Linked DNA regions of Struthio camelus. The protein of the gene in region 4 interacts with the protein of the main gene of each other region in a biochemical or structural test. Links are inferred from orthologs where the notes say so. Each region holds a gene or a part of one and is shown on either strand. Other genes may lie near its edges.

Region 1 (7,738 bases), on a different chromosome or scaffold from region 4:
GAAGTGAAATGAAAAGCCCATGGTGAGCCAGCGTAACCAAAGAGTAATGCAGCTGGGCTAATCTGTCAGTGAGAGGCACTCTGCTGGAAAAAGAGCACATGGAAATGCTTCCAGTCTCTATGAACAGTACTTAAGCTGGATGCAAATGTGCATCTCACTCTTTGCCAAATTTATCACATCATTATAAAGCTTGAAGAAAAATCACTTACACACTCGCTCCGAAAAGCTTCCCAGTTGTAACGGAAGGAAAAGAGTCAACTATTGAACAATCCTTCACATTTCCATTCTGCTCCTGGCAGTGGCCTTGGGCCACATTTATGCACAGGACAATCCGCAGGGCTGCAGGGGAGGGAGGAAAAGACGCAGGAGACAACAGGGACAGGCAGAACAAGGAGGCCCAACACAACAAACGGGGGAGGAGGGAGGGCGGGATATCTGAGGGGCCAAGACAGCGACTCAGTGACAGCAGTCAGAATCGTTATCCAGTTCTATCTTCCGCCTTCAGTCTTCCTCCCTCCAGGCTGGCAGGTACCGGGAAGCAAAATGAACACAGACATGCTTCCCCCCGGGGAAGAGGGAGAGCCTCCCATTACCCTGCAGCTCGCTGGGAAACGGTCAGGAGGGGCAGTGAAAGGAGCCACCAGGTCCAGCCTTCCTCGGCTGCAGGGCGAAAACCCTGAAAGAGTACTAGGGGCGGGGGGGGGGGGTGAGCCTCGCGGGAGGATAGGGAAAAAGCACAGAGAAAAAGCTTATTCCAGAATATTCCATCAAAGGAGGACTAGGCAACCCTCAAATGGATGGAAAAGTGCAAGCATGTGTTCAGAGACAAGGGGAAGGGGGAAGGGGGTGGGGACAGAGAAGAAGAATGGGTTCCTCTCCAACAAGTTACATTCAGCTCTGCTTTCTACATTCTCCCTCCTTCCTTGGTTGCAACCAAAGGAAAAAGCTCTTGACTTAAAGGCCAAAAAAAGATACTTAATATAAGCTTGTATATGAATAAACAACAAACACGGCAGGTCTGAACGGGGCCTGCAGGAGATCATCCAGTCCACGGGTCTGCACTGCGGCAATCCCAAAAGCAACATGGGGTCAAGCCAGCTCCAGAAAAACCCAGCACAGCAAAGCAGGCTCTGTCAGGCCTGTCGCTTTCAGTGTGCCCAGCGCCCCTGCCAGGACATGAGCCACCTTCTGACACCCCTTCCAGCACAAAGCTAGCCCTGAATTGCCCTACACCTATGTGATACACAGACGACATACGGAGGGACCTACAGACCCTTGCCTTTTGCAACGGCAAGTCATGGGTGCCTATGACTACACTATGAATTTCTGTCAACACAAGTTTGCCTAATGTGCCACTGAAGGGAAATACCTCCCACAAGTGTCTGAACCTAGAATCAGATGAAGGATCGAAGGGTTCCCACCTCCCCTTACCTCCTCGCCCCACAGTAGTCTAGAGCATGCACCTGGTGGCCTCCACGAGATGCGGACAGTCTGACGTGTTTCCCAAGCTTTTCTTAAGGACAGTCCAATTGGCAGATGAAGGATAAGCTTCAAGCGCAGGGCAAAACAAGTATGAAGTGGAGACGTTTGTTGGGATATTAATCACTTCTATATACTTTTTAAGAAATTCCAGGGAATAACACATTGTTAGGAGAGTTCTGTATCTCTGTGACTACTGCACTAGCATTTGGATAGTCTGTGGATATTCTGGTTATGTGCGGATATATCCCTACATGTGGATATTCTGAACAGCAAAGTCCAAATTGTCGGGTACGGCGCTCTACTGGAACTAATCAATAAACAAAAGGGAACAAAACACAAATGTTACCAAAAAAAAAAATTTAAAAGTGTTAATAAATCAAATACTGCCCTTTCTCACATGCCAAAATAAAGTGCTTACAATAAAGAATCATAAATTGTCACTACTGTTCGGTTTTTTTTAAAGTTTTATTTGCTTCCAGCACGGGAAAACTATGGCCCAGAAGACTTCCACAGCCCTCCCCTGTCTCCTCACACACAGAGCACTCTCCAAGTCTCCTCTCTGTTGGTGGCAGCACTCACAACACCTAGCAAGTGCACTGCTTCCCTTAATGCTTAGCTTTCTCCTGCAGAAGAGTAGGAAGATAACCTTTCAAGTTGTCCACTTTCAAATTTTGGTGCACTGGTCCAAACTGTGTGCAATTCCACAAACACTAACAGCCATCTCCCTGTGGCACCCGCAGACACCCCCCCCCCCCAAAAAAAAAAAACTACCCCGTTTCTTAACCCACCAAACAGCGCAACTCGAGACACGGCGGCTCCAAAAGCCTTGCTCGAAGTTATCCAACACCGCAGCCGGATGCCGCGTGGGAAACCGCCAGCCCCGCGCGCGAGCACCAGCCCCACGCAGGTGGGGCCACTGGCACCTCCCTGGCACGAAGCAAGCGGCGGGCGGCCGCGCACCGACCAGCGCGCACCCCACGGCCCCGCTCGGGTCCGGCCGAGGGCACCGAGCCGGCGGCGCCCCGCTGCCCTCGGGGGCGCTGGGCCCCCGCTGCCGGCGCCTCCCCTGCCTATTGTTTAGCGCGCACCTCACCGCGGGCACGTTTTGTACCGATTCCGAGAGTTTGTTGGCAAAACAGCCCAGCCCGGGCAGCGGCGGGGCGGGGGCGCCCTCCCGGCCCCTCTCCCTGCCCCAGATAACCGCCGCTTGCAAACAAAGGAGTTTTTTTTTTTCCCGGCGGAGCGTCCCGCGCAGGCGGAGCGGGGCCGCGCCGGGTGCCCGGCCCCGGGGTGCGCTCGCTGCCGCGCTTGGCAGGGGCCGCCCGCGGCCGCTCCGCGCAGCCCCCGCGCCGGCGGCGAGGCTGGCCCCGCGCGGAGGGCACCGCACCGCACGGCTCCGCGCCGCTCCGCCCGGCCGGGACGCCCGCGCTGGCCGCCAAAGTTTCTCCGCGCCACCGCCACGCGTGTCCCGGCCCCGCCGCCCCGCGGCGCTCCGCGCCCGCCCGCGGCTCCCACCTGCGGGCAAGAGGCTCAGCAGCAGCACGGCGTGCGCCAGCTCCCAGGCGAGGTACGCGCTCTCCATGCCGGCCCCCCCCCCGCCCCGAGCCCGGCCCGGCGCCTGCTCCCGCTCCCGCTCCCGCTCCCGCTCGCACCGCCCGGCGCGCAGAGATGCCCGAGCCCCCGCGGCAGGGCTGCCGAGTACAGCCGGCCCCGCCTCCGCCGCCCGCCCCGCGCCCCGCCGCGCCGCGCCGCGCCGCGCCGCGCTGCGCGGCCCCCCGCGCCCCGCCCCGCCCCGCCGGGGCTGGCGCAGGTGAGAAACTCTCCCGCCTCCTTCCGCGGGAGGTGGGGGGGGGGGGTGCCTTCGCCTCGGTCTGAAAAAACAAACCATCCCACGCACCTCTCCTTCCTTCCCTCCCCCCCCGCCCCCTCCCCCCCCAAACAAGGGAAAACTGGAAAAAAACCCAGTGAGCAAATACGCGCTCAGTGCCGCCGCTAGAAATCGCCTGCGGGCCGCGGCGGTGCCCGGGGTGGGCGCTGCGCGGGGAGCGCAGCTGGGGCCAACGCCGGGGTTGGCAGGGCCGGCGGGGCTCGGCGCGGAGGCAACAGCCCCGCAAGGACAGGTACAGCCCAAGCCGCGGGCTCGTTTCTGGCTGCGGGAGGTGTCGCAGCAGCCTCGGCGAGCCGCGGAGGTAGCGCTGCGGCCCGCGCAGCCCAGCTTTCCCACCGCGGCCGCTTTGGGCAGTCGCGCTTTAGCAGCAAGGGAAGGGCTCGAGTATGCCCTGTGACACACAAGGAAAGAGTGAAAGAACGGGCTAGTTTGGTACGGAAAAGAGAAGGCTGACAGGGATCTTAAAACATGGAAAAGGTTCCCACAAAGAGGGTTGCGAGCAATTGTTTTTCATGTCCCCCAAGGGCAAGATAAAAAGTAATCCATTTAGTTCTCAGGAAAAAAAAAACTTAAATGTTAGGAAAGCACTTGCAAAGAGCAAGGAGAATTTATTCTGCAAATGCATCGTGGAGGGCAGGTTGTGGTATCCCGTATGGGGAGATTTGTAAGCCCCGATGAGGCAAACGGTTCAGCAGGAGGATCTGGGAGCACTGGCTTCTGTATCGGCAGAGCGAGAGGGAAGCTGCCCGTCGGGCAGAAATAATACAAACTGCAGAAATAATTCTGAGTGCAGAAATGTCTGTCTTCAACTCTCCTTTGTGTCACACACAGCTGAAGGGAAAGAAAGTTGGATGTAACATGTGATACTGGATGTTGGAGGCAGAGCAGTCGTACATGCATTCCCCTGCTGTGCTCTGACCAGAGAGCCAAGGACAACACAGTCTTTTAACAGGCAGATGGGGAAAGGACGCATAAACTGTCAGAAAACCCCAAACAACGCTTTTTCAATGTTCATAAGGATGTAGAGGACTCATGGCCAAACTCTTACCAGTGGAAAAGCAACCAGAATAAATGTAGACTTTTTGAAGCACATCAGTACAGATCAGAAAAGTTATTGAAGGCAAATTATTCATTTTTTTTCTTCATCTTCTTTCTTTGCTTTTTCAGTACTGTCAGTTTTTTTCCGAGGTTAATAGCACTGTCCCATATGGTCCAGTGTTAGATGAAAGTCTTGTCTTATATGTTTAAAATGGCTCTCCATTTCTTTACTCTCTTTCATCTCCCACAGCTAGTCTCTTTTGATGGGTGAATCCTTCCTTTGCCTGCAAAGCAGAATGCATTTTTGTTAGCACACTGACAATTTCAAAATCAAACATCATTTTCAAATCATATTTCTCACTAGGTGTGAGCCTCACCAAATTAATTCTGGGTAGAGAAAAAAAACCAGCTAAAATACTTAAAATTTTAGTGCCACCTAGATTTTCCAGGTGTCTCTGTGCTTCTTTTTTTCAGGAGAAAAAAAGGGGCTTGGCAATTTTTTTACAAGGGCTTAGAGCATTTACAGTTTGCGTTCTTAAAGATGCAAAGGAGTGCACAATATGCTGCAGGAGGTTTCCACTGCAACATTATCAAGGAACATGTGATGTTGCTGTTATGACAGGTTTCTCCCTGTTCTTTTTGATTAGTGTTATTTCAGTTAGTGGCCTGGCTTTATGCTCTGCACATCCCTGATCACATGCAGCCCAACTGCATTGCCCTGCATCTTGCGCCTTTTTTTGCCCAACCTTAGCTGAATGTTAAACATCTCAAAATCAGAATGGCAACAATGTGCTTTGGCAACATGCACTTTGCATGGCTATAAATAGCTGCAGTAAGTGGGAGGCACAGGTGAATTAGGTGTAGCCTTGCCACTTCATTTATTTTTAATAATCATAATGACAAATGTAGTTCTGCTTTGTCCAACATCTTGCATTGAAAACTGCATGTAAGGCAGAGTTGTCTCGTCCATATTCTGTTTGCAGTATAAAGGGAAACAAGCGTTTCCCCTTAATCAGTGAAGAGGACTCCCTTGGGTCTTTTTACTCTCTTCCAGAAGATATGACCATATGACCTTAAGCCAAAACAGGTCTATTTTGCATTTGCAGCCAGACAAGGTAGCCCCTCACATGTTCCTGTGTTCAGTTACTGTGGTACCATGGCAATATGTTAGGATAGATAATGCCATTTCTTCTGATTGTCTGCTTGTACCAACTTGCAGCAGTTTGACATCTGGGGGGGGGGGGGGGTGAAGCTCCGCAGACTCCAGAAACAATGGTTTTGAAGATAAAAATGATAAGCTTGGAGAAATATATGAAACCTTCTATTTGGAAAACTCACTTCAGTTTGAAATCCTTCAGGTGATTTAACCATAAATATGGACTGGCGCCTTTAAACAGCCAATTCAAAAGACTATATTTACTGTCATCAGCGGTCTTGTCCACATCCATGGAACTGCCTACTGGAGTAAACATTGTATAAATCGATAATATTGGTAAGATTATGCTCATGTCATTGAACAACTGCTGAACTAATGAAGGACTTGCATAATTTCTGTATCTGAATGCAAATGCGTCTGGAAATTATCTCAGCTAGTTTGAGAGCATCAAACGCTGTATTCGTTAGGTCTGTGAACACCTTTCTATACTAAATCTTTTCAGTATAAATAATCTGTGGAATCTATTTTATCTCTGGCAAGGTATATCTAATGAGAAGAGAGGAAAATACTCTTCTGATACAGCCAGTCAATGCCTGCTAGAATTCCTCCTGATAAACTGTGTGACGATGAATTCTTCTATAAGACTGCACTCTCTTTTTCTAAATTGTAGACTAAGAGATATTACTCTAGGACATTCCTATTCCATAGAAAAGGGAAGCCCCTGCAATCCGGATGACTCTGGAATTAACTCACCTCTAATACTTGAAGGCTTTGAGAAACTATGAGTCTTTGAAACATATATTGATTTACAAGTGTTGTAGTTGCTATCTCATCATTGCCATAAAAGTTTGTTACAGTTTGTAAAAGTGAAAAGTAGTTAAATTTCTGCTTGATGCATTCATCGAAAACAGCAGTTCTGAAGCGCAGCCATCAGGAATGTCATATGACTACCATGCAAGAACACATACTCATCACTGTGCTGTATCTTAATTTTAATCGACAAAACCGTGACTATGAGTTTTCTAAGCCTCTTGTTTACTAACACAAAAAAAGGGAAATCTGCTGGTCTAGACTTGGTATGCCAAGGTGTACCAACTGGAACCATCTGGGACTGTTTCCTGCAAGGCTTTAGGTTTCAGGACATCCCTTTGCCTTTATTTTTATTAACTTTGCAGTCTCCTGCATCCTCCTGCTAGAGTAGAAGGGGGATTGGGTGGAGACAATTGAGGGTATTTGATAGACTTGTATCTTAAGGTTTCATCTGTAAATGGGAGGATTTTAAAGTCTTCCATGCAGCTTAACTGAAGAGTTTTCCATTACTTTTAACAGGAATGACTCTAAAATTAATGCAGATAAAGTGGACACCTTTATGTTGTTCCCCTCTAGAATATGAACTTTCAGATGGACCATTCAGTCTTACTAAAGTGGAAAGTATCTCTTATTTCCTTCTAATCCAATTTTGTAAAATACTCACTGAATCCCATTGTGCCTGTGATCTTACATCACTATTGCTAGCCTAGTTAATTAAAGAGTTTTCTAGCATCAAATGTCAAGAGCCAAGATATAATTGCCATTGAAGCTTGAAATATTACACTATTTTTAAAGATATCTCGTGTTATCACATGCATAGCACACTATTGTAAAAACTGTCTTATCGGTGTAAGCTTAAGTGGAAAATAAAGGCTCTAATCTTCCTGATAGCATTTTTGTTAGTTTATACCCTACAATCTTGCTAAGAAAAGAGATTTGTCTTTGTGAAGTGCAAAGTACTGTTCTGCCCTTTATCGCTTGCTACTTTACTTGCAGAGGCCACTGTTGAAGGCCGGAGCTGCAGGATTCAATTTGTAAAAGTTCTGTAACTCCATTCAGTGACTTAGCGCTAAAGGGTTTTTTTCAAGTGGGATTTTTCTGGGTCTTTCTTATTTTAGTTTGTTGGTGCGTTTTTTTTAAGCAAAGCACCAGACAAATTTAACATTCCAGAATAACTGTAGAGACACATCCGACTTGGCTTTCTCAGGAGTGTTCTGCTACTCTTAGCTAGCTGCTTTTTGCACTGTTCCTCAGTTTCTCATGAGTGGTAGCTGTGGTCGTCAAACCCGAAGACCTCTGCTTTGCGCTCTCTGTCTCCTCTGAACAGGATATTAATTCCTTGGTTGCTGAAAACATATCGAGGC
Region 2 (7,229 bases), on a different chromosome or scaffold from region 4:
CATTATAGGAACTCACAGTAGGTATCTGTAATGGCTAAGCAGGGAAACACAGACAGAACTAAAGCATCTCACTACTACTGAAATCTTTTTCAGTCATACTAAAGAATCAAGTGGAACTTTTATTGAACTAAAGATATTTACTATTGATAAAGCCTTAAATAAGTATAAGAAATGGAGTAAGCCATAAGGGAACAGGGCCAGGAAAAAATTCTTACAGGGAAGAAAGGAAACCTAACAAAACTATCACATACCTTTCAAAAAAAAAAAAATCTTCAAAAAAACTATTAAATTCTAACTGCTGACATACCTGCCCAGTAGTCTCTCTACAGGACAGCTATACCCCTAGCCACCTAAGGAAACACAAACACCACCTACCCTACCACATTAGTCACCCCTCCCTAGCAAGGGCCTTTTATATAAACCTACCCTCAGCAGAGCAATCTGGAGGCTGGTTGTATAAATTTGGCAATGGCAAGCAGCTGCTGCTTATATACAGTAGGGATTTTGAAACAAGAAGCTGCTTCTGTCTGGTAAGTGTGTTACAGTTTGGGGTGGGGGGGTGGTCTTGGTTTCTAATAATTAAGCTAGCAGATTATGCTAGCTATTAAACATAGGATGTAAAAAAAGCTGTATTGGTAAGAAAGTTGCTCTTATAGAATTGTTTAATACAATTGAATAGCCTCTCTGAAGAGGAAAAGAAGTACTTCAATAGTTTCATAAAGCTTTCTAATAATGAAAACTTTTAAAGTGCTAGGAGAAAAAATGCAGTACCTCCACAAGTTTGCTGGGAGTGTTACTGACAACAGTACATCATGGCTCTCAGAAGTATCACCCGTCCTCAAGAAACCTATCTGAGAATAAGGAAATGATAGCAAATTAGAAGTATAAGTCTTTGTAGTCTTTTCTTAGAATTATGAAGTAGAGAGGATTGTATCCCATCAGTGATAGCAGGGGACCAGAAGTAGTATTCCTAGAATAAGAACTGACTTGAAGCATTATCTGTGCTGATATTTACTAAATACAGAACTTTTAGCACTGTAAGTTAGGTGCTCAGATGCTGGGAATGTATCCTAAAGAGCGCTTGCTACAGCTTGACACTTAAGTTTTATTTTGTCAAGTGCCTTTTAAGCCAGGCTTTTGACATGAACACTGATCCTGAATTTTATTCTATCTAGAATGCTGTTAGCTCCTCAGTGATGTTATAATGAAGTTTGTGGTTTAACAGTAAAATCAGTGAGCTGTAACTAATTCATGTAAGGCTTCTGAAACAGTAATGAGAAAAGAAAGGTAGCTTTAACAACAAATAGATTTTGTGTTCTATAGTGTGTCTTAAAATAGTGACCTTACAGTCAGTTTTATACCCTAGAAAGGAAGAAGTGTGATTCTACAGTAACTGTAACTCTGAGCAGAAATAAGAGATGTGCCATGAATAAGCACTTCACTGCAAGGAATTTTCTCCTGTGCCAAAATAATAAGTTTTAAAAGTTAGAAATCAACTAAAAAAGGCTAAATACAAAAGTTAATGTAGCAAAACTAAGATAAGTGGCAGATAGATCTCCATGCTTATGGAGAAGGAAAGTACTATATTCTCCTTGGAAGACACCAACACCAGCCAAGAGGTAGCACAGACCACCATACTGCTCTGAATATATGCTTTAAAGTAGAGCAACTGAAGCTGTGTAGAGTATCAGTATTGCCTTATTCAGAAAGTTATGCCTACAGTGTAAACCTCTAATAAGGTTAATTATGTATATGAAGGAAAGAGACTAGAACAACAGTTCCACTATAATTAAACCAATCGGAGTCCTTTGTACATAACCTTAAACTATATATTTTTAGATCACTAATTACAAAAGAGTATACCTTCTATCATATTTTAAATATAATACTTAGTATTTTGGCTTCAGTTAAGTGTGCAACTATAAGGCAATTAAGAAATGGCAAATGATAAACATCTTCAAATTCTGAACTAGTTTAAGTTCAAAAAACGAAAAAGCTTCATCTGAAGGAAAACAATTATTTCAGCCCTGTAATGCATTAGTGAACTACAGCAAATAAATCTTATTGAATAGATGTCCGTAACAGAAATATCAGAATCTTATAACTACTGTTTTGTAAACTATGCAAGACTTGCCCATTGGAATCCCTTTTTGCAGGCAGCCACAGAGATGTCTTATGTGTCTTAATTAGTATAGCTTTTAGATACATCATGATACTGTTCCCTAAAAGACACTTTGTTCAATGCATGCATACTGCATGCTTACTGAATGGATTCCCTTCTGCTTTTCTACTGTACTCTTTTAACAGTCTGTTCTACAGACATTAATAAATATATCTCCATAAGCCCTTGAAGCAAGATTCCCACAAAAACAGTGGGGATAAATGCACTAACATAGTGCCCAAACTGAGATTTCCTGTTACTACACAGCATGCGCTCCTAACGCTATTTAGCATTTGATCCTCAAAGCTCATATCATTCATCTCAATTACAACAATGAATGATTAGCCCTTCTGAAAATCAGCCCCATACTGCTCTCAAGTGCTTTGAAAGTGCAACTATAGGGACCACCTGTGAAAAGTTTGGGTTAAGTGACTTGCCTGATGTCACACAAACTCAGTGCCAGGAGCTGGAACAAATACAGTTCTCCAGAGAGGTTTTTCTCATCCTTAACCATAACATCATCACAATCTGCATTCCAGAAGCCATTTATTACATAGCTTCTGCAACAAAACACAGGTGTCTGAGTTTGTTCACCACAAACTTTTTAGTTCATAATAGGCTTGTGGCCTTTAGGAAAAGTAGTCTTATCACTGAGACTAGCACCATGATGCATATATCCCCTAAGTAGGCATTTTACTTATTTTTTTTTAAATGTGTCTATGCACAAAAAGTAGCCAAGTTCTGTATTACTGATGCCTATACAGATTATCAGCAGGCAGGGGTTTTTAGATTCATGTTGGAGATGTCTTCCCCTTGGCCTATTACCTTATGCAAGTCTGTTACTGGATGGGGTGGAAGCACACTTTGCCACTGGCTCTCAGTTTAAAGTGCTGTCAGCAGCACAAGAGTGAGGCATTGGACTTTTGTGGTCCACTTCAAGTTGAGGGGGTGTGAGATAATGGTTAGACACCTGTGTTCCTTTCCCTTTTCATCTCAGCTCTCCAGTCCCTTGGGAGGTTAAACGAAGAGATAATGCCTAAAATGTTCAAACTTAAAAGCTGTATTTCTTGTAGATTAGAAGCAGTATAGTGAAAAACGGAAGTGTATAATGGAAATAGTGGCTTACGGTTTTTGTGAACATTGGTTTATGACCTGGTCCAGTTGACAAGTTAGAACGGTGCGTAACATAAATCCATAAAGTCACTTCAATATGCAAAAAACCTGCTTTGGTCTCCATGTTAGCAAACCTAGAAAGATAAGTATAAACTTCAGCTGAATTGTAACACACCAACATAAAAGATCCTGCTCACTTACACCATTCCCCTGTGCATGTGTTTAAAACATTACTAGAATTAGAAGAACACTCGGGTATAAATAGATGTGACTCTGTTCACAAGCAAAAGCAGGGCACAAACCCCGCTCGTGGCAGCGCTGCACCTCACGTTGTGCATGAGCCGCCTCATCTAGCGCTAACAGGGACATTACTAATTTTCTGCCTTCCCCTTCCTCCCAGCTAATTGTGGCACTCTGGATCTTGCGGCGAGCCGGTCGTAGAGCTAAGCTAGCTTAACCGTGCGTTTTGCTTGTTAGTGTGGTCTGCTGGACTCCGAACGGGCTCGGGGAGATGGGACGAGCCCCGCAGCTGGCGGAGGGGCTGCGACACCCCGACAGGCTCAGCCACGGTGAAGTATCACTGAGGGGCAGCTGCCAGGGATTTCCCCCAGAAGCAAGGGCCAGAATCTGGCCTGCATCATCCCCCTCCGCCCCGGCCTGACACGGAGGTCGCCGTGGGCAGTCGCGGCGGGACTGCCCAAGGCAGCTCCTACCCTCCCAGAGCCGCTTTGCCCCTCAGCTACGCAAAGGCCTAAAACAGGGATAAAAACCAAACGTTGGATAAACCAAATGGGGACAAAGCCAACCGAACCGTTGGCTTTTTACACCATCCGAAGAGTGTGAGGCAGTGCCTGGCGAGGGCCGCGGTCTCGGGCAGAGCGTCGGGGCCCGGCGACCGCCGTCCCGGGGCGAGCTGCGCACGGGACCACCCCCCCCCCCCCCCCGGCCCCGGAACCGGCGGCAGCGCGGGCCGAGCGCGCCCGCTGCTGGCGGCGGCCCGCGCCAGGACTCAAAATGGGCTCTCGCCCCTCACAGGCGGCTACTCCCTCACTCAAGATGGCGGCCGTCTCCACTTAAGTGAGGGGGGAAGGAGGAGGGTTGCCCCAATAAAAAATGGCCGCCGCCTCCCCCGTTTTCGCACAGCGCTGAAGCCGCGCGCCCATAGCAAAGATGGCTGACGCCCGGCGCCCATGAGGAAACTGCCTCGAGTGTAGGGAAAGGGAGCGGCGGCAGGTCCGCTCCCGCAGCCCTTTCCCCGCCGAGCCCCGCAGGGTGGGACCGCGGCTGGGCCGGGCCGGGTTGGGCTAGGCCGTACCGAGCCATCCCGCCCCTCGGCCGCTTCAGAACGGGAGCGCTGCCCGGGAGTGACGGGCTGAGCGACCATAGAGTTGGACGCCGGCGAGAGCGGCCTTTTGTGCGGAGGGCGGGGCCGTGGCGCTGGCGGGACCTGCCCGGGGCCCTCCCGTGGGCAGAGGCGGCCATTGCCCCGGCGGGGGGAGCCCCGGGGCGCAGCGGGGCCCTGGCGCCTCGCCCGGGGAAGGTCCGGCGCCGCAGCCGCGTTGTACTGCAGGCCGGCTGCGTCGGTGGCCGAGTGGGCACCTTTCCCCTAGGCTCCTTCCTAAACCTCCCCCCCCCCCCCCCGCCCTCAAATCCCAGCCCTCTTCCGAACCAAAACCTCAAGTCGTTTTGCTCATGCTCAGTTTTATTTATTTATGTTCCCCCCGAGCTGCCCAGGCTTGCTTTTTGGCTTAAATGAGCCTTCACCCCTTCCCCCTCACCTCCCTCCTTCATCTGTTCAGAGACTGCCGCCCCGTCCCCGGTATTTAAATATCTTCAGTCTCCCGCCTGTAAAACGGGCTCCTCTCTCCCTCGCGGGCCGGGAAGGAGTTCAGCCCGGCGAACGGGCCGCGTGGCCCGCTTCAGGCGACGTTTGCCCACCGGCTCGCTGCGGCAGCCAGGGCTGGGAGCCCTCGCGAAAACCAGCCGGATACGTGGACCGTGAGGCGCGTCCTGCCGCTAGCTGCTCAGAGCTGACTACGTTTGGGGCTGCCTCTGCCCCCTGACACCGGTCCTCACGGTGGTTTTTCCCTTGCGGTGATGCTCCGGCCCCAGGTGGTGAGAACGGAAAGGTCCGAGTGCCCCCTGCGTCCTGGCTCGCCGCAGGCTGCGCCGCACCGCCAGCGAGCTGGGGAGGAGGAGGGAGTTGCCCTGGCCATCTGCGGAGGGCATCAGACCACTGGCTCGGAGCCTCCTTTCATCTCAGCAAAGTTTGGACGCTCCGACGCGTTTCCCTTGTCTAAAGCAGTCTCCCAGACAACGTCTTGCTTTTACCGCGGTGCCTCTTTGCTTTTCCCTTCAAACGTGCCCTGGTGGGTGAGCGACAGCCTGAGCGGCTGCGGTGGCCTGGGACGTGTCCTGGGCTCTGCCCGCGAGGAAGAAAAAGCTCTTTGGCAGAAGGGCTCCACGCAGCCTCTTGCTTTAGGGCCTGGCGGTGCGAGAATCCTGCCTCCATCCGCCTTTCCCGCTCCCGGAGCCTTAATTTGGAGCGTGGGCTGCCTGCAGGCTCCTCTGTGCCCTGGCTCGTGACGACCCCCCTGGGCCCCTTCCCTGCTTTCGGAGCTGCTGCAAAGAGGAGGCTGCGTCCGCCTACCCGCCCGTCCCCCCCCCCCCCCCCGCCCCGAGCGCCGGGGTGGACCCGGGGCGGCGGGCGTCCCGGGGCGCACCCTGACCCCCCAGCCCTGCCCGCTGCGGGCAGCCCGCCTCTGCCGGCCTGTGCAGACCTGCAGGCGGCATCAGCAGCCCTGCCGGGCCACAAACACACCCAGCAGGGTGTGAGCAGGCGGCGGAGGAGCCGAGCGGGGCTCTGCCGCTCAAGGACGCCCGGCTGAGAGCTCGGCCCCGGCGCTCACCTGGCGTGCCGGCGTCCCAGCTGCGGGACCCAGACGTCTGCAGCGAGCAGGTATTTCCTCCGTTTGGCTGGCCGCCCTTGCTGTGGCAGCCCGGGCCTGGGGAACGCTGCCCTGCACTGCCATGGGAAGGGCTGAGAGCGCCGCAGGAGAGCGGCAAAAGGGGCTGAATTATCCCCCCGCCTTGCTCTGCATGCAGCTGGGGGGGAGAGGGGCCGGCTGTGCTGCTCCCACCCTGCCCCAGGAGAGAGGGGACAGCGAGCCCAGGGCTGGCTGCGCGGGGGCAGGAGGCTGGGAGAGGGACATCTATGCTGGGACGTGCTGGTCTTATCTCTGCGGGGTCACCCTGCGCCCGCGCTGACCTGGGAGCTCTGCCCTCCCCTCCGCGGGGTGAAGGGGCAGTGCTGGGTGCCAGCTCCCGCTGCCCTGATCTGCGGACATCCCGGCTCAGCCCCGTTCAGCAGGTGAGCGGGTTTCACCTAGCCCTGCGACCAGCGTGGGCCCGTGGCCACTTGGTCATCCTGCGCCAGCGCTGCTGGGGCACCGAGGTCCCTGCCAGGCTGTGAGCACGCACGCTGCTGCAGCAGCAGGTATGGGACCCCTGCAAGCTCCCCGTGCCGGGGCTTGGGGTGTGCTGTGGGGGTTGTTCAGTAGGAGCTCCTTCAGGAGAGCTCCCGACAGACACCCCCCCCCCCCAGCACCTTGCTGTGTGTTTTTTCCCCTCCAAGCCATAGAGGAAGCTGAGCAGGGTCTGCAGCCTACGCAGCCCAGCTCTGCTTGGGACCTGTGCCCGCCGCAGGGGGTTTGCATGGCAGCTGCTGGTATCGCTGCTGCATTCGAGCTCTGAGCCAGGGGAGCAAGGTGGTGTTTTCCCTTTGCACCCCCTGAGGTGGCACAGCACCCTCTGGAGAGCACCCAGGGTGGGGGGGACATGTGTGACGGGCCCCTGCTGCGCCTCTGGCAGGCTCCGGTACGTGGCAACAGCAGCCGCTGGAGCCTGGCCGCCTGCCAGCACGGGGCTCGCGGCGCAGGCCGGGCTCAGCTGCGGA
Region 3 (7,280 bases), on a different chromosome or scaffold from region 4:
TCACCTTCCTTAAGTTGGCTTTTTTTAATTTGCAGACACTGTTTTGGGGCTCAGTGTCCTTGGCCCCCTAACAACATGTCACAGTACTGGTCCACCCACCCAAGCTGGATATGGGTTTAGACTTCATGAACTGGTAGGGAGTAGCTCACACATAGGTTGGCTTTCTATGCATAAACATGGTGAACACGTGGTGTCTGCCACTGCATCATCCAGAAGCTAGCGCCAATGTCTGACTTTTATCCAGAGCATTAAATTGAGATGTATGAACATGTGGCAAATCCCTGCTTACTCGGAACAACGTCCGTGTTTGATGCATGAGATGAGCATGAGCGTCTCTTCTTTGGCTTGCTCCTTGCTCTACCTGACATGCCAGAGGGAAACACCTTCCAACTGAGTGGGGAGTTTATCTCCTTGAAGCACTCAGCCAAGCCAGCTACTAAATGGGGGGGTTATCTCCCCCCTTTGCCACTTCATCCCCATGGAGCACATTGTAGAAACCAAGCAACAGTGGCAAGGCCAAGGATGAAGGCTTCCACCAGCAAGCATGTAAGAGTAGCCCTCCCAGGTCAGCTCACAGGTGAATCTAGTCCAGCACACTGTCATGGTCTGTAGTCAACCACAGGTGTCCAGGGAAATCAGGGAAATGCAAAGCAACAGGAATCCTTAGCAAGAGCTCCTTGGAGCGCACTTCCGACTTCCAAGGACTGTGGCAGAGGGACAGGCTGAGCCAGAGGCAGCATGATAAAACTTAACAGTTCTTGCATTATTCTACCACAAATCTGACCCTTTGTGCATTAGCACAAAATCCCTTGGAGTGAGGATAGGGAAGCACTGGGCTAGCTGGGCTCTCTAGCACTAAGTATCTCCAAGAATCAGTAGACAGGCATCCATTACGGCTAGTCAAGGCAGAATACTTCCTGCCTTGGAAAAGAGGACAGACTAGATAAATCCTCCAAGGCTCAGTATGAACACTGTTAGAGCTATCTGATCCACACCTACCTACCAATAGGGAAACTGAGGTATAGCCCCACAATGGTGATCTCAGCTGCGGTTTTCTGCAGCCAAGCACACCAAGAAGTTATACACTAGACTTCCACTAGCCTGGCCTGAATGTCCTGGACTCTGACAGTCCAAACAAGATTTTTCTTTATTTTTTTTTTGTAGACATCACACTGGTAAGTAAAGCCCTGTGGCTCACACCTAGCAGTGCTAGAGCATCAGCTCCACATGGGAATTTGGGACACGTGTGCTTAGCTCCTGCATGTGCAAGCAGCAGTCCTGGTTGCCTCCCCTTGGCCATGCCATGCAAGAGGGACAGGCACAGCAACATGCTCCGGTTTTCTCTAGCTGCACTCAGCACGGGGCGAAGGGCCGGCTGCAGGGTGGATGGGGACAACACCAGCAGCACTGTGGTTGTGTAAGTCACGCGTACAGCGCCAAAGTGCAGGTGTCCTGGAGCTGTTAGGAAACAGAAGTGTCAAACCATGTGCAGTTACATAAAGAAATAATAATGTACCAAAGGCAGATAAAGTCATGCTAAATCACTGCTCTCCCTCCTTCCTGGATATCCGATATTTCTCTTCATTTCCCCCATCCCTAATACCCTTCTCCCACATTCATCTCTCTGCTGCACGGAGGAATTTGAGATTAACCATGACGAATGGAGTGATTTCCTTGTCTAGGGGACTGTTTTATTTTTCCTCTGCCACATCTGACAAGTTGCATTTTCCTATAAATCCCCTCAATTAGGCCTTTAAAACAGCACTGCAGTCGTTTCCCTGATATATGGGGAAGGAATTATCTTAATGTCCCTGGCAACCACTTCCTTGACTAAAAATAGTTTGGGTGCACTTTCGCTTCCCTCCCATCACCCCATGGTTTTGGCATCTGATAAGAGCATGGTCACTGCATGCATCTTGCCCAGAGGATGAACTGCAAGGCCTGAGGAAGGGGAAAACTGATGCTTTTGCCTTTTTTCTCACCGTGACCAGCCTCGGTTCGCTCTTCCTGTGCTCAAGAGGGGCGTGGGAAAACAGGGTCAAAGCCTGCTTTGCCTGGAGGACTTGAACCCGACCTCTTCCCCACTGTCTTTTCCAGGCTCTTCTAGGGTGAGGGAACTTTCTCAAGGCCTCCTCTCAAAACTTTTGCATTTTAAATTGGGCTAATTGAAGCTCAAGGTAATACAAAGGTGGATCTGGAGTCTATCTGGTCCCGTCACTTGTCAAAGGGCTGGGATGTTAGGAGACCTAAGAAATAACAAGTTTCCTGAATTTACTAGAGCTTTACATATTCTCAAACTCCTTTCCCAAAGCAATGACACAGTTGATTAAATCCAGCTAATGCTGGAAGATTTATGTCTGCGTTGTTTATTGCTTTAGTTACTGGGCCAGGAGGATTTACCCTTTGAGGCCTGGGATGAACCATCCACACAGCTCCTGGGTGTAACCCTTGGCTGGCTGCTCACGTGCTACGGTCCAGCCAGCGGCCAGCAATCCTATGTACAACCACGTCAGCCAGGGGTGCCTGGAAGAGAGCAGGATATGACCCTGGCCCCTACATGGTTTGGAGAGAGACACTTGCCACTGACACGTTGGCACTTAGATATGGGAAGGGGGAAATGTCTCTGGTCCCTACAGGAGCATCGTGACTGGAGGAGGCTGCTGGGAAGAAGGTGTCAATGCTGATGTGACATCTCCCATCATCCCTTTATTTTCCCGGAGATGCAGCTTGACTCTAGTTGTTTCCACAAGGAAAGAAAAAGCCATAACTTGCTGACTGGCTCTTTCTCCTGCTGCTGAGTCACTGCAAGCAGGTAGACTCCCGGCACCTTTCCCTGGGGCCAGCACAGCGGCTGTGGTTTGCACCAGCCCCGCAAACCCCAGGCAGGATGTGGAAAGCGTGCCCCAAAACCCTACCCCAACTCAGGGAGCGGGCTTCACCTGGCGCAGGCCACGCCCAGAGATTCGACACCTGGGACATAGGGAAGTCTCTCCCACGCTCACAGCCGGGGCTGACGCATCCCCAAGCACCACTGGAGCTGGCAGGAGTGTCTCATGGTTAGGGTGGAAGGGAAAAAATTAGTCAAGACCCCAGAAGTCTTGTTCTGCATGACCTCTCACTGCCCTCCACCCTCCCCAGGACACTTGTCCCCAACGGACACATCTCCCCCAAACCAGTGCCCCTCTACCCCATTAGTTCAAGCCCTCCTGTTTCTGCTGCATTGCCTGTGCCGTGCCACTGCCAGTCCTGCTGGGGAAGCCGCTCTCCACCCAGCAGCCTCCCACCTCCCCTGTTACTCAGTTTCCCCTGTTATAGCCTGGTCTGCTTCCTCCAGTCCAAAGCCAAGCCTAGGCTCTCCTGGGGCTTGGGCGAGGCTTACTTGTGCTGCAGGCACAAGGATGGACATGGGGCCATAGGGGTAAGGAGCAGCTCATCTCTGCCAGGGAGTTACAAGGCACAGGGCTGCTGCAGCCCTAGAGGAAGCTGATCAGGGCCAGCAGAGCAAGGGAAGACAAGAAGGCACCAAGAGCCCCTGCTCCCTCTCCAGAGGGAGATGCTCAAAGGAAAGGACAGATCCTTGCTCTCCCTTCCCTCAAACCCTCTCCCAGAGCCTTGAGCAAATCCTCCTAAAAGTTGCAGTCAAAATCCCTTTGCATACACACACACACACAAACACAGGTGTCCACAGCCTCCATAAAAGCGCTTGCAGCAACAGCAAAACGCCTGCCTTTGCGGAGGAATAGTCTCCCACTAGAGAGCGGAGGGACAGAGCCGGGGGACGTGGTCCAGGCTGGGCAGGGGCTTGCCTGCCCCACGTAGGGACGCATCCCCAGCAGGGCAAGGCAGGGCAGGGGGACTGAAGGGCTTCCCTGGGCAATCGGAAAGTTTGGGTTGCAAAAGATGCTGAGGGAGGGGATGGCAAGAGAGGAAGAGTTGCAAGGCACCGGGGCTGTGGAGGAAGGAAAAGGGGAGGAGGAAGCAGCGGAGGAGGAGGGAAAGACAGGGGGAGTGGGAGGATGGCAGAAGAGATGTAACCCATCCCCAGCCGAGCAGGGGAGCTGGAAGGTGGGGAGCCCAGACGACCGGCTCGCAGCAAGATTATAAAAGGCAGGAGCAGGTTGCTGAGCAAAGGAGAGGGAAGGCGAAAGGCACCTGCTTCCCTCTGCACAGCCCAGCTGAGACTCAGGGTGGCGGGAGTTGCAGTGCCAAGAGCCTGGGTCCGTGTCGATGACAAGCTCGTTTACACAAAGCCCAGAGGATTTTACCCCAGACAGCATAAGGAGCCCAGCAGAAGTGGGGACTGCTGCCAAACATGCCTGGGAGAGCTGGGCATAGTGGGAGTTAAGGATGATGTCCGGCATACGTCCTACCCTCCTCCTCTTCCTCCTCCTGCAGGTAAGATGCTCGCAAGCCCTCTTCTCCCGGATGGGTTCTCCTTCCTTCCTCCCCACCACCCCTTTGCCTCCTGGACTGCCAGGTTTCTCTTGAGTGACTTTTCCATTGCTTTGAATGAAGGGAAAAGTGAAATGAGAAAAACCATTACCAAGAGCCCCCAGAAGGATTCCTCCAGTCAAGTCATGGGGTCTTGGCAAGTTCCTGGTGACCAAAAAAAGGCGGGGGGTGGGGGGGGAGGGAGCTGGCATCAGTGAAAGGATCAGTCCAAGGGGGGGACTCCCAGCCTGGAAGCAGGGGCTGAGGAACAGGGCATGTCCCCAGGCCCTGGCGGTGGCCAGGAGAGCCCAGCTCAGGGCTAGCAGCCGGGCATGCTGGAGGAGCCAGGGCAAGCTGCCTTGCAGACCAGCCTGGCTCTGCCTTGCACCTCCCAGTGTCACCAGCTGCCACCAGTTTCCCTTATTGTGCTGAGAGAGGGCGGGGGGGTGGCTGCTCTGGGGGTGTGATGGACAGGGATGGCACAAATGCGTAGCCTAATTCTATCCCCTCGGTTGTTTTCCTAAAGAAACTGCTCCTTTTTTCCCCATCAAGCACAAGACTTTCCTCTTTAAATTGTTCACGATGGAACTGTAGCCACTGCTAATTTTGCAGCTCTGCACAAAATGCAAATGCTTTGTCAGAAACAATATTCCTCCTCCCCGAGAGCTCATCGAAAAAGCAAATGTTCCCAACCCAAAGAATGTTTAAATCCCAAACCCTGGGGGGATGACAAGAAAAAAAGGTTTTCAGTGAAAACCTGAGCATTATATCAACAAAACTGGATATGCAGTTACACAAAACAATCAGCTTTTTGCTTAAACGTCTGTGTCAAGAGGGTGAAAAAGAATTTGCATGGCTCTCCACAAAATGCTGTCTCAATAGCACAGTTGCGATGCAGAGTTGAAACGACAGGAAAAAGCAGCGGGTCATCCCTCCCACCTTAGCACAGTTGCAGTTTGTATCCCATGGGCTGGTTTCAGAGCCATGCACCACCCAGCAGCAAGATCAGGGAGAAGAATTTAGCTTCACATTTGGAATAAGAAAGTTCTCACTTAAGTGATGCGAAGAGCTAATACGTGCCAGCCAAGCCTGCTGCCAAGTTGGTGTTGCTTTTTAGAAGCTCCTCTTCTGAACAACCTGCTTTCTTCTTTAACTGCATAGCCCTTATTCTGTTTTATGAGAGCTCTTCTGCGGTTATGTTACCCAGTGCAGGTTTTGTTTGGCTCTGATGTAAGAAAAGGTGAGGAAGAGCAGCCCTGCACCCATGCATGGGGACAACATTGGCAAAGCAACAACGCCTGCGCAAGAGAGGCAGGTTCTGCAGTGGGCAATCTTAGTCTGCCCGCCGAGAGTTCAGTCTTGTGAGAAGCCCCAGCTATTCCTGGCCATGGGCAAACAGGTCTCCCGATAGTGCTGATGGTCCTCAACAACCACTCCGGCAAACTGGAGACTACCCCGATAGTGCTGATGGTCCTCAACAACCACTCTGGCAAACCGGAGACTACCCAACCGCATTGGCCAGCCCTGAAAAGAAACGCTCAAGCAAAAAAGTACCCCTTCCCAATATAATTTTTTTCCTGAGAAACATATGCATTCAGAATTCAGCCCCACTTTCAGCACAGTCCAAGCCCCTGAAAGCCCCAGCACCGCAATTTTCCCATGTGGCCATTGCACGGGGCCTTGCATGGGGTCTAGGAGCGCGGCCCCAGCCATGTGTGAGGCCAAGCTTCTCGTCTCTAAGCACTCTTAGCCGCATGGGCTAAAAGTGACCACGAAACTGTAGCCCAAAGGGAGAGCGTCCCTGCAGCCAGGCAGACCCAAACCAGCATCCAGCCAGGAGCGCAGAGACCTGCAGCGGGTGCTAATCTCTCCTGCTTCGGCAGGTTTTGCAGGCTGCAGATCTCTGAGCTGGCACAACTAAGGTGTTTCCAACGCACCTGGCTGTCAGCTCCAGTTTAGCATAGGTTTGTCCCCGTTGCCTTCCCAGGTAGACATCCCTTGGAGAAAGGACAAACGGACAAAGAGATAGGCAGCCAAACTTGAAACAGGCTGCAAAATGCTCTTTTTGTGCCCTACAACTCATTTAAACAAACGAAACAGAAAGAAACAGTTCACCTGCAGTTTTGTCAGGGACTGATGACATTTCTGGGGCTGATAAAGTCCTATTATTTTATGAAAATGAGTTTGATGGGGTGGGGGGTGGGAGATTCCCCTCTCCCTTGCCCTCCTCCACATCCAGTAACAATAAACATGAAAAAGGGCCACCACCCCTTCGCTACTCCAATCTCTGCAGGAGACGTGACGCCTGCAGCAGCAGGACGTGCTGACCCTGGGGATCTTCCAGTCCTGGATTTCCTTAAAAGCCTGAGTTAATTCTGGGTGTGTGAAATCACCCCCGTGATTTCACATCTCCAGTGAAAAAGCGAATGGCAATGGCGCAGCCTGTTCCCAGAATAGCTGCTGTATTGCCATAGGATGAATGTATAGAAATACAATGAGTCTAGCCTGCGGACACCGTTCGACTCCATCCTGAAATACAGCCCTGCTCCCCAGAAATTCAGCGGAGAGCCTGCTGCAGGTCCAGCCCAGAAGTCTGTTGTGAGTGATGAGCTCAAGATGAGGTCTGAGTCCATCACCAACCCCCAGTGAGCAGGATTTAGAGGGGCTGGATCTCACTCCACCTTTGCCAGTTGGGGTAGAGAACAGTTTTCAGGCTCAAAAGAAGGGCCAAATCATTAGCAGAGGGTCCCTGAGCAAACTTAGCCCAGGAGCCATTCTCCAACACTAGAAAGCTGGCAGTTAGGAAAAGATGGCTCTTCCTGAAGACAGAATAACATGCCTAGAGGCCC
Region 4 (8,003 bases):
CTTCCTTACTATCTGAAAACACTATAAAATAAACATTGTGCATTGTGAAAATGCAAGAAGAGCAGTGCTGATCATTGTTACAACACGTAATAAGCAGGCTGCTCAGATGCAAGGAGCAGGTCTGAAAAGCCTGTGAGAGAAATACCCCAATACTGCCTCGGCAGTTATTCCAGAAGCACGAGCCAATAGTACCACAAAGCATTATTTTAAGCAAAAAGAGGGCACTGAAAACAAAATGACATATTTAGATGTTGTCTTGCTGGGAATTCCAATTGGCGAAACAAAACTACCTCTACCAATGGTAAGACTGTATGCCAACAGCATGGTACTCCACTAGCTTTAAACTGCTTTAATGGAGTGCTTTTAATGCAAAGCCATTTAGATATAAAGTGTACTAAATCTTATCTACAGAATTTTAAATTTGCTTATATGAAACACGGATCAGATGATTTAAAGGGTCTTTATAACGGTTTTCACTACAGTGATTAAAGAGGGATCAATTAAAAAAGAAAAAAGAATAAGAAGCACAGATCATCTACAGTGCTCTGAGTGACTAAAAAGTTGTATGGCATTAATCCCCCCGGGGCTCACAGACACAGAGTCAGACAGAAAATTAGTATGTAAGCAGTGCAGCTCTTCTTTCCCTAGTGTTGATATTGATCTAACTTTCCTAGTACGCTTTCACGTTAAGAGAGGGAAGAATGTATCCAGCTCCTGAAGAAAAATTTCTTGAGAACACAAAGGAAACCATTAGAAACTGTTACATGCAACTGTTACATGCATGTTCCTGTTAATAACATGGAAGTACAAAAAATATATTCTAAAAACTGACAAAAGTTTTGGGGGAAAAAAAAGCTAAGATGATGCTCTCTATCATAAAACTTGTTGCTAGTTAATATCTATGTAAATATGTCCTCAGATATTTTAGTACTACGCTCTTTTCTTCTAATGTTACACACCTTTCCATTTGCCTGTGAGCATCAAGTAGCATTTCCCATTAACATTTTACTACTTTCCTCCTTCCTAGTTCAGATTCTTCCCTCCCATTCAGTTGTTATCTAGGGAAATGCACTGCTGATACTGATACCAACTGGCATTTCAAAATAAACTTCCAAGAACTGCAGAATTCAGACCCTTTAACACAGTAGGCCACTGCTCTGCTTGAGTAAAAAACCCGTGCTGCACTTTCTGTTATCAAAACCACTAATGACATCTTCCATCCAACAGGCTGTACTAGGAAAATTTCCTGCAAGCGTTGAGGAGCAAAAATATAAACGGCTGGGGTGCTATTTTGACCACTGCAGGAAAAAAAAAAAAAAGGACGAGGAGAGAAAAAGGATAAAACACTGTTCAGCAAAATAATAAATCAAATCTGTTAAATGCAGTACAGGGAGTTAAGCTGCCAGCTTTGTGACAGACTATTATTCTTTCCAATAGTTTATGAATGTTCTTGAAGGAAGAAGGAAAATCACACAGGAAAAGAAATTACTCCGAAAACTATACCTTTCTCTTAATATAACTTATGCAGTATCCATTGGCCAAATCTATCAAAAGGCAAAATTTAGGCCCCTCTAAAGGCACTGTGTAACGTGGATTAACGTTTAAATAAATACCCACTGGGCTTTAGAAAGCTGTAATTGAGACCATAACTGCAAGAACTCCCCAACGTCAATAAAATAACTGATAAAGAAAGATAAGACCAAAAACACTGGTGACCTCTTATCAGCAGTTACAATGACATCAAAGAGCCAGCCAGTTTTTATGGAGTCTTTCACACAGATCTGCTGCACAGAACTAGTGGTTTTGGCTGGGCCTTTTGAGTTTTGCTGGTTTTCACTTATAACTGAGTTTTGGCGCCACAAGACCTGGCTGAGAACCTAAGCGCCTCCAGGACCACCGACTTGCTAAGCAAAGTAGGGGCAGTGGTGGCGTCTGCTGCGGGGGGTCCGTCTCAGGGCCATCGCCCAGCACTGCTGCCGCCGCCGGCTGCTAGCGCTGCGCAAACCCTCTGGCACAAGCGGTCCAGGAGGAGGCTGGTTCCCATCAGTCACATCCCACTCGGGCTCGACGCAGGCCACTGCGCATGCAACATGTCTGCGGCATGTCCCGTCTTCCCCCTCCGGCCGCAGCACCCCCCCCACCTCACCCCCCCACACACTCGGAGGGCAGGGGATTTCAGAGCCGAGCTCAGTCCTCCCCGAGGAGGGAGCGGTAAACACCACCACGGCATCACTCGCAAAACACACCTTCCAAAATAGGTCTCGGGTGCGCAGAGCGCAGCAGGTGAGAAGCCGGGGGGTGAGGGAGGAGACCTTCTGCAAAGATGAAAAAATCCCCACTGGGAGGAGGAAAAAAAAAAAAAAAAGGAGGGAGGGGTAGTAGGGAGCGAAAGCAAAATGAAAGCCAGCCTTGCAGCAACAGGAGGAGACCCGGCTTTTGTTTACATCGGGAGGAGTGCCGGGCAGGCGGGCCGAGCCCGGGGAGCATCGGGCAGGAGGCGCGGGGCGGCCGGGGAGCCCAGCCCGCTCCCCGCCGCCCCCCCCCCCCCGCCCCCGGGCACACGCAACAGGCTCCGCCGGCGCCCGCAGCTCCCCGGCCCCCTTCCCTCCAAGGCCTCTCTTCTCCTCCTCCACACCGCCACCACCCCCTCCCCCGCAAAACCCAGCCGCTCGGGAAAATAAATAAGTGGAAAATTAAAAAAAAAAAAAAAACAGAACAACTTTGCGAAATAAATGAAATAAATCAAATGCACATGAAATAAACTCAAAACTCCCTTACGGCCGGCACCCCGCTCCGTGGGGGCCGGCGATGGGCGCTGGCCCCCTCCCTCGCCCCCCCCCGCCGGGGCAAAGCGCCACCGCCGCCCCCCGCGCCCCGCTTACCGCGCCGGCTCCGCGGGCCCCGCTCGCCGCCTGCGCCCTGCCCGCCCCCGCGCAGCGGCGCCGAGCCCAGCCGCGCCGCGCCGCGCCGCGCCACGCCGCGGGGGCAGCGCACGCAGGCACGCCCCGGCGGCCCTGAAACCTAATCCTGCCCGCCGCCCCCCCCGCCGCTCCGGCGCGGCCCCCCGCGCTCGCTCACCGCCCCGGGGCCCCGGCCCCGGCCGGCAGCGCGCCCCGCGCAGCGGCGCTCCCGGTTTGCAGCGTGGGTAGGACAGAAAAAAAAAGGGGGGGGGGAGAAAAATCGTCTTAGGGCTTCCCATCCATCTCCCTCACTGTTGGTTTTAGTTTGGTTCGGTTTGGTTTTTCTTTTGCATTAGCGTCCCCTCAGTAAACTTCCTGCGTTTGCTGCCGGCAAGGCGGCACACTGGGCAGAGGGGCTCAGCACGCAGAGATGTTAGCCTACGTGATCAGATCTAAAAGTAGGTTGGTGCTAATTTTGTTTCTCTGCACTAATTTTCTCCGATTTCCCACTTTGAAGGGCTGCTTGTAAAATTAACCAGGTGCCATTGAGCTCCCCTCTGAATATTTAAAAAGATGCTATGCGCTGTCCCTCTAAGAAACTCTTCTACGTTTTGTAGATATGCCCGCTGCAAAGTTTGGGCCTGGTCTGCTAACTCATTCTGCCACAACCCACCAGTGCAAGAGCGTGCCACCCCTTCTTGTTCTCCCAGCAAGCCACCGTTTTTTTGCCCTAACACAGTCTGAACAAAATGAGCCCACGTTTGAATGGGGAAAAAAAAGGGAGTGTTTGGAAATAAAACATGATGGAATAAGACAAAATGATGAATAATGTCATAGGACTAAATAGGAGGTAATTATCCCTCTTTTTGAGCAATTGCAGATTAGTGTCTTAAGTAAAAATGTGAAGATGCTGTATACCTTACACCTACGTATAAATGTCATAAGACTAAAGAACATAAAGCTAAAATGATTGCTATGACAACAGAAATTAGTTCACCAAAAAGTCCAAGTGTTTTGCTTTTTGTTTGTTAAATTTGCTTCTTCTAGCTAATGTGGTTAGGATCATGGTCTACCCTTGTTGCTGCCAAGTATGTTTACTCAGTCAGCTCTGTTGTGATAACACCCTTCAAGCTAAAAAGAAATCTGGAGTGTTCTACTGAATACGCCATCTCTGCAGAAGCTGGGTACTTTGTAATTTTGCTTGTCTTCTCGTTTGATTTGTTTTTCTCTCCAAACATATTTGAATTGCAAGTGTTATCATATTCGTGTGATAGTTGTTTTTTTCTCCCATAAACAATTTTTTAAAAGTCATTATTTGCGAGATACAGTGGAATACCATTCTAATATTTAAAAGAAGATCATTAAGTGCAGCCTTGGTGAAGGCACTTTCACGAGTTGGAAATTTCTTGTGTAAAGTTTAAGATACATGGGTCTTTGTACACTTCCAGGATTATTTTGATTGTTTTAATTTTGCACATTATCTTTTGAAAAAAAAATTACCCTACACTGTATTTCTCTTGTTTATTACAGCTGTCAGATTGAAGAACTCCAGTTGATTAGCTTCTTTTTTGTCTGTTGTACATGGAAGTGCATGTAATCACACCTGCTTGACAGTCATTCTTCCATAGCTTACCTGAGAAAAACGTAACCATTTTCAAGATCTGGAAATCACACGTTCACATTTTTTGATCTAACATTTGCCTGTTAACATACTGATCCTTTAAATTAAATGTTGAGAGTCGATTTGCTATAGTTATAAAAGTGACTGCTCTATAAAGCGTCCCACCAGCTTTCCATGTTGCATGACTCCAGAATGAAATATTAAAAAGAAGGTACAGCTCGTTTGTGTACATCATTATTCAATCTATAAAAGAACCACAGTGGGTTAGATGAATGTAGAACATTCAATGTAGAATTAATAACAGAATTAGTAACAACTATTGTTATTAATTCTGTTGCTCTGGCCTTGACCTTGACATCCCTCTGAAATATAATACAGTGACACTAGTAAGCATATTTGCAGCTAAAAATGGGCCAAAACCAAATGGCAGTTTATTCTTTCCAATGTATAGCAATATCAGCTGTGCAGTAGTTCTTCCCATTGCAACTTGTATTTGTGTGGGATATATCTTCCAGATAATTCTTTTAATACACAATCTGCTATTCTCAAGTAGAATTTCGTCTACAATAATATTCAGATTTTACCATGGCTGTCGCAGTATATATTAAGTAGATTATACTCACTGAAGTTCAAAGAATCATGCTACCTTAGGCCTTGCCTGTATTAAAAGTATTTGCGTGGATATAATTATACCAACTTAGCAGCACCCTCAAACCTAGCCGCCTGGTAAACAGGCGGCAGCACATCTGTACCAGGAATTTGCATCACTGTAACGTAATGAACTCATTTAAAATAACTGATTATCTTCATGCTGACACAGTTTTCGCAAGGAAAAGTATTGAGGGTTGGAGTACAGTAGCTGTCCTGCAGGTCTACTTGATAACCAGTTTAGGGAGATGACTAGACAGACACCCAATAGACAATTCATATTTACTTGTTTCTTCTTTCCACAGAAGGTGCTACCAAGTAGGACAAAAAGAGAGTCATTTTACAGACTCCACACTGAGTAAAGCTGTCACCTCTGCGGCTGCTTCCCAGAGAAGGAAGGTTAAGGGGTGGGCTGGGTGGTGTACGCTGTCACGCAGGGCTTGGGGTGGTGTCATGCCTTCGTTAGTGCGGGTAGCGTACCGGTCAGTACGGTATAGTTTTGAACTATACTGTTATCCTTAAACTGGGAGGGAAGAGAATCTACTTTGCATGCCAAGTATAAATGTGTTTACAAACTAAAGATTAATCAATTTGTCTACATATAGAAAAGCATGTAATTTTAAATAAAAACTACAAATAGCTTTGTAAAACAAGTTTTTCTCAGAGACTTGCTATTATGACAAAAGTAAGTAAAGTAATACTTCTAATTACTAATGTAATAGTCTGTCAGAAAGGACTCTTAAGGAGGAGATGAAGAGGGAACTAAAAAAAACATTTGATTTTGTCTAATATTAGTCTCCAGTAATATTTCATTTCTGAAGCCAATTTAAAAAATGCTCATGGAAGAAACATCAATATTGGATGACATGTCTGTCTTCCTGATTTACTTCTGGTATTCACATCTTGCTAGTAAAATAGCACAGATTAGTGTTAATGGTGTACTGCATAGATTTATTAGAAGACATGAAGGAAAAGTAAATGCACAAAAAAGTATTTAGAAATAGAAGCATAAGCATCCATTAAGTCATCCATTAGACCACCGTTGGGAATGTAGTCTTTTAAAATGGTAATGGGAACAGGATCCAGCAAATGAAATGTGAGTGCGTCTGATTCCACTCTTTTTGACTCACAAACATTGACTTCCCTGGAAAAAGGATGTTGCCTCTGAAGGACATTTGACTGCATTTATGGCACAAGTCAGTCTGTCTCCTAAGAAACAGATGTATTGACAGAAAGAGTTGCTTAGTCTAATCACTCTGGGTATTGTATTTGTGCGTAGACTTAGCTGTTGGATGTTATCGATGTGTATGTTTTATATATTTTTTTTATATATATAAAAGACACACACATGTATAATTTACATATTTGTATATTTATATAGACATAGTCATAGATATGTAAGTATTGACTTCTCTGCTTGGCAAATTCCATTTCTGAATTATGAATAAAACCCAAGGAAAGATTCCAATAAACCTTTTTCATAAGCACTACCTTAATTAAAAATAAATTTCAGTTTTTATACCTTACCCTTCAATACTTAGAGCATAATTTTGGCCACTGTATATGCATGTGAATGTATGAATACATAGACACATTATTATACTTTCGAATAGAGCATTTGTTCATAATTTAGACTAAACACAACTATTAACAACCTTCCTTGTCAGAAAATACTAATAATTATAAATCAAATGTTATTCCCAGATGTGTGCGTTAAGAGTAATCTATTGCATTAACTAGAACTAAATTGTAGAAAACTAATCTGACATCAAAGGTAACTGTGATCGTAATTGTTATAGCTGCTAATCCAAATATATTAAGCATGTGGTTATGCATTCTATCCTTATCTGTCCAAATAAGGCTGCATCAGTATTTTTCTTCTTTTTCATGGAACTGGTTAGAATACAATACGTGTGTACTACGTTTTCCAGAAGTTTTACTAATAGAAGCATACAATCAAGTTAAATATAACACTCTTCTCCTCCCTCACCTCAACATAAAAGTTACACTTCGAAAGTCAGATGGCAAGAAGTAACTATGCAGTTGGAGGGAACACCATGCATGTTATTATGCAAAGTTGAAATTACGAACTTTCTCTTAAGTATGGTGTTTGGAATTTATTCCATTTTTGGATTATTGTCCTGGCAAGTACAGAATATTAGTTTCACTTACTGGAGCATACATTTTGGCAGGAATGTTGCATAGATTTACATTTTAAAGGTTTTTAGGGAAATTGTCTCCCCTGCAGACATACTTCATAACTGTTATTATTGCTATTGGAGGTTACACATGTGTCTGGAAGAGAAAGTATGCCCCGGAAGGTAGAACAGAGTAAAAAAAATCATAAAAGGTATGTTAATTATTCTCAACTACAAAACAAAAAACTTGAAATTATGGCAAATTAAAAGGGCATTTATTTACATACAAACAGGATTGTTTAATACCACAGGCCTTGCCCATAGCAGTGAAGTGAAGCCAAATAAATGACAAAGCATGTTAACCTTATCGTAGATTTTTCGGACACAGAATACCTGCAAGGAGAGTCTGGTTTAGTCAGATTAAGACTGGTTTTAAAAGTGTGGGGTTTTCCCCAAGGTAGCAACAGTTTTGACAGAGCTCACTCACAGAAAGTCTAATTTAAAGGGCTTTCTTCAGAAACACTTCAAGGGACACAGTCCAAAAGCAACATGTGATATGAGGTACTCATCAATGCAACAGTTGTTCCAGTATTTAAAAAGGCAAGATATCTTTACAATAAACTTCATGTTAGAAAAGTAGGTAGGTCCTATATGAGATTGCCCTGAGTTTCAAAAAAACTGGAGTGGGAAGAACTG

Evidence for each region.
Region 1: the proteins of MPDZ (region 4) and KIT form a complex in vitro, tested with the Homo sapiens proteins (2 studies listed by BioGRID and IntAct, with this or other methods). The link is inferred for Struthio camelus from reciprocal best matches to the Homo sapiens genes MPDZ and KIT.
Region 2: the proteins of MPDZ (region 4) and HTR2C form a complex in vitro, tested with the Homo sapiens proteins (3 studies listed by BioGRID and IntAct, with this or other methods). The link is inferred for Struthio camelus from reciprocal best matches to the Homo sapiens genes MPDZ and HTR2C.
Region 3: the proteins of MPDZ (region 4) and CRHR1 form a complex in vitro, tested with the Homo sapiens proteins (2 studies listed by BioGRID and IntAct, with this or other methods). The link is inferred for Struthio camelus from reciprocal best matches to the Homo sapiens genes MPDZ and CRHR1.

What each region holds. Positions count from the first base shown.
Region 1 is NC_090945.1:56,830,866-56,838,603, forward strand, and holds the start of KIT (mast/stem cell growth factor receptor Kit), read right to left. Parts: upstream 3,151-7,738; 5' UTR 3,065-3,150; coding exon 2,998-3,064; intron 349-2,997; exon of another isoform or gene 210-348; intron 1-209. UniProt on the Homo sapiens protein: Tyrosine-protein kinase that acts as a cell-surface receptor for the cytokine KITLG/SCF and plays an essential role in the regulation of cell survival and proliferation, hematopoiesis, stem cell maintenance, gametogenesis, mast cell development, migration and function, and in melanogenesis.
Region 2 is NC_090952.1:25,398,217-25,405,445, forward strand, and holds the start of HTR2C (5-hydroxytryptamine receptor 2C), read right to left. Parts: upstream 3,361-7,229; 5' UTR 3,288-3,360; intron 531-3,287; exon of another isoform or gene 474-530; intron 1-473. UniProt on the Homo sapiens protein: G-protein coupled receptor for 5-hydroxytryptamine (serotonin).
Region 3 is NC_090966.1:3,503,077-3,510,356, forward strand, and holds the start of CRHR1 (corticotropin-releasing factor receptor 1), read left to right. Parts: upstream 1-4,026; 5' UTR 4,027-4,347; coding exon 4,348-4,395; intron 4,396-7,280.
Region 4 is NC_090982.1:21,775,312-21,783,314, forward strand, and holds the start of MPDZ (multiple PDZ domain protein), read right to left. Parts: upstream 3,097-8,003; 5' UTR 3,079-3,096; intron 2,958-3,078; exon of another isoform or gene 2,883-2,957; intron 2,339-2,882; exon of another isoform or gene 2,247-2,338; intron 1-2,246. UniProt on the Homo sapiens protein: Member of the NMDAR signaling complex that may play a role in control of AMPAR potentiation and synaptic plasticity in excitatory synapses. Promotes clustering of HT2RC at the cell surface.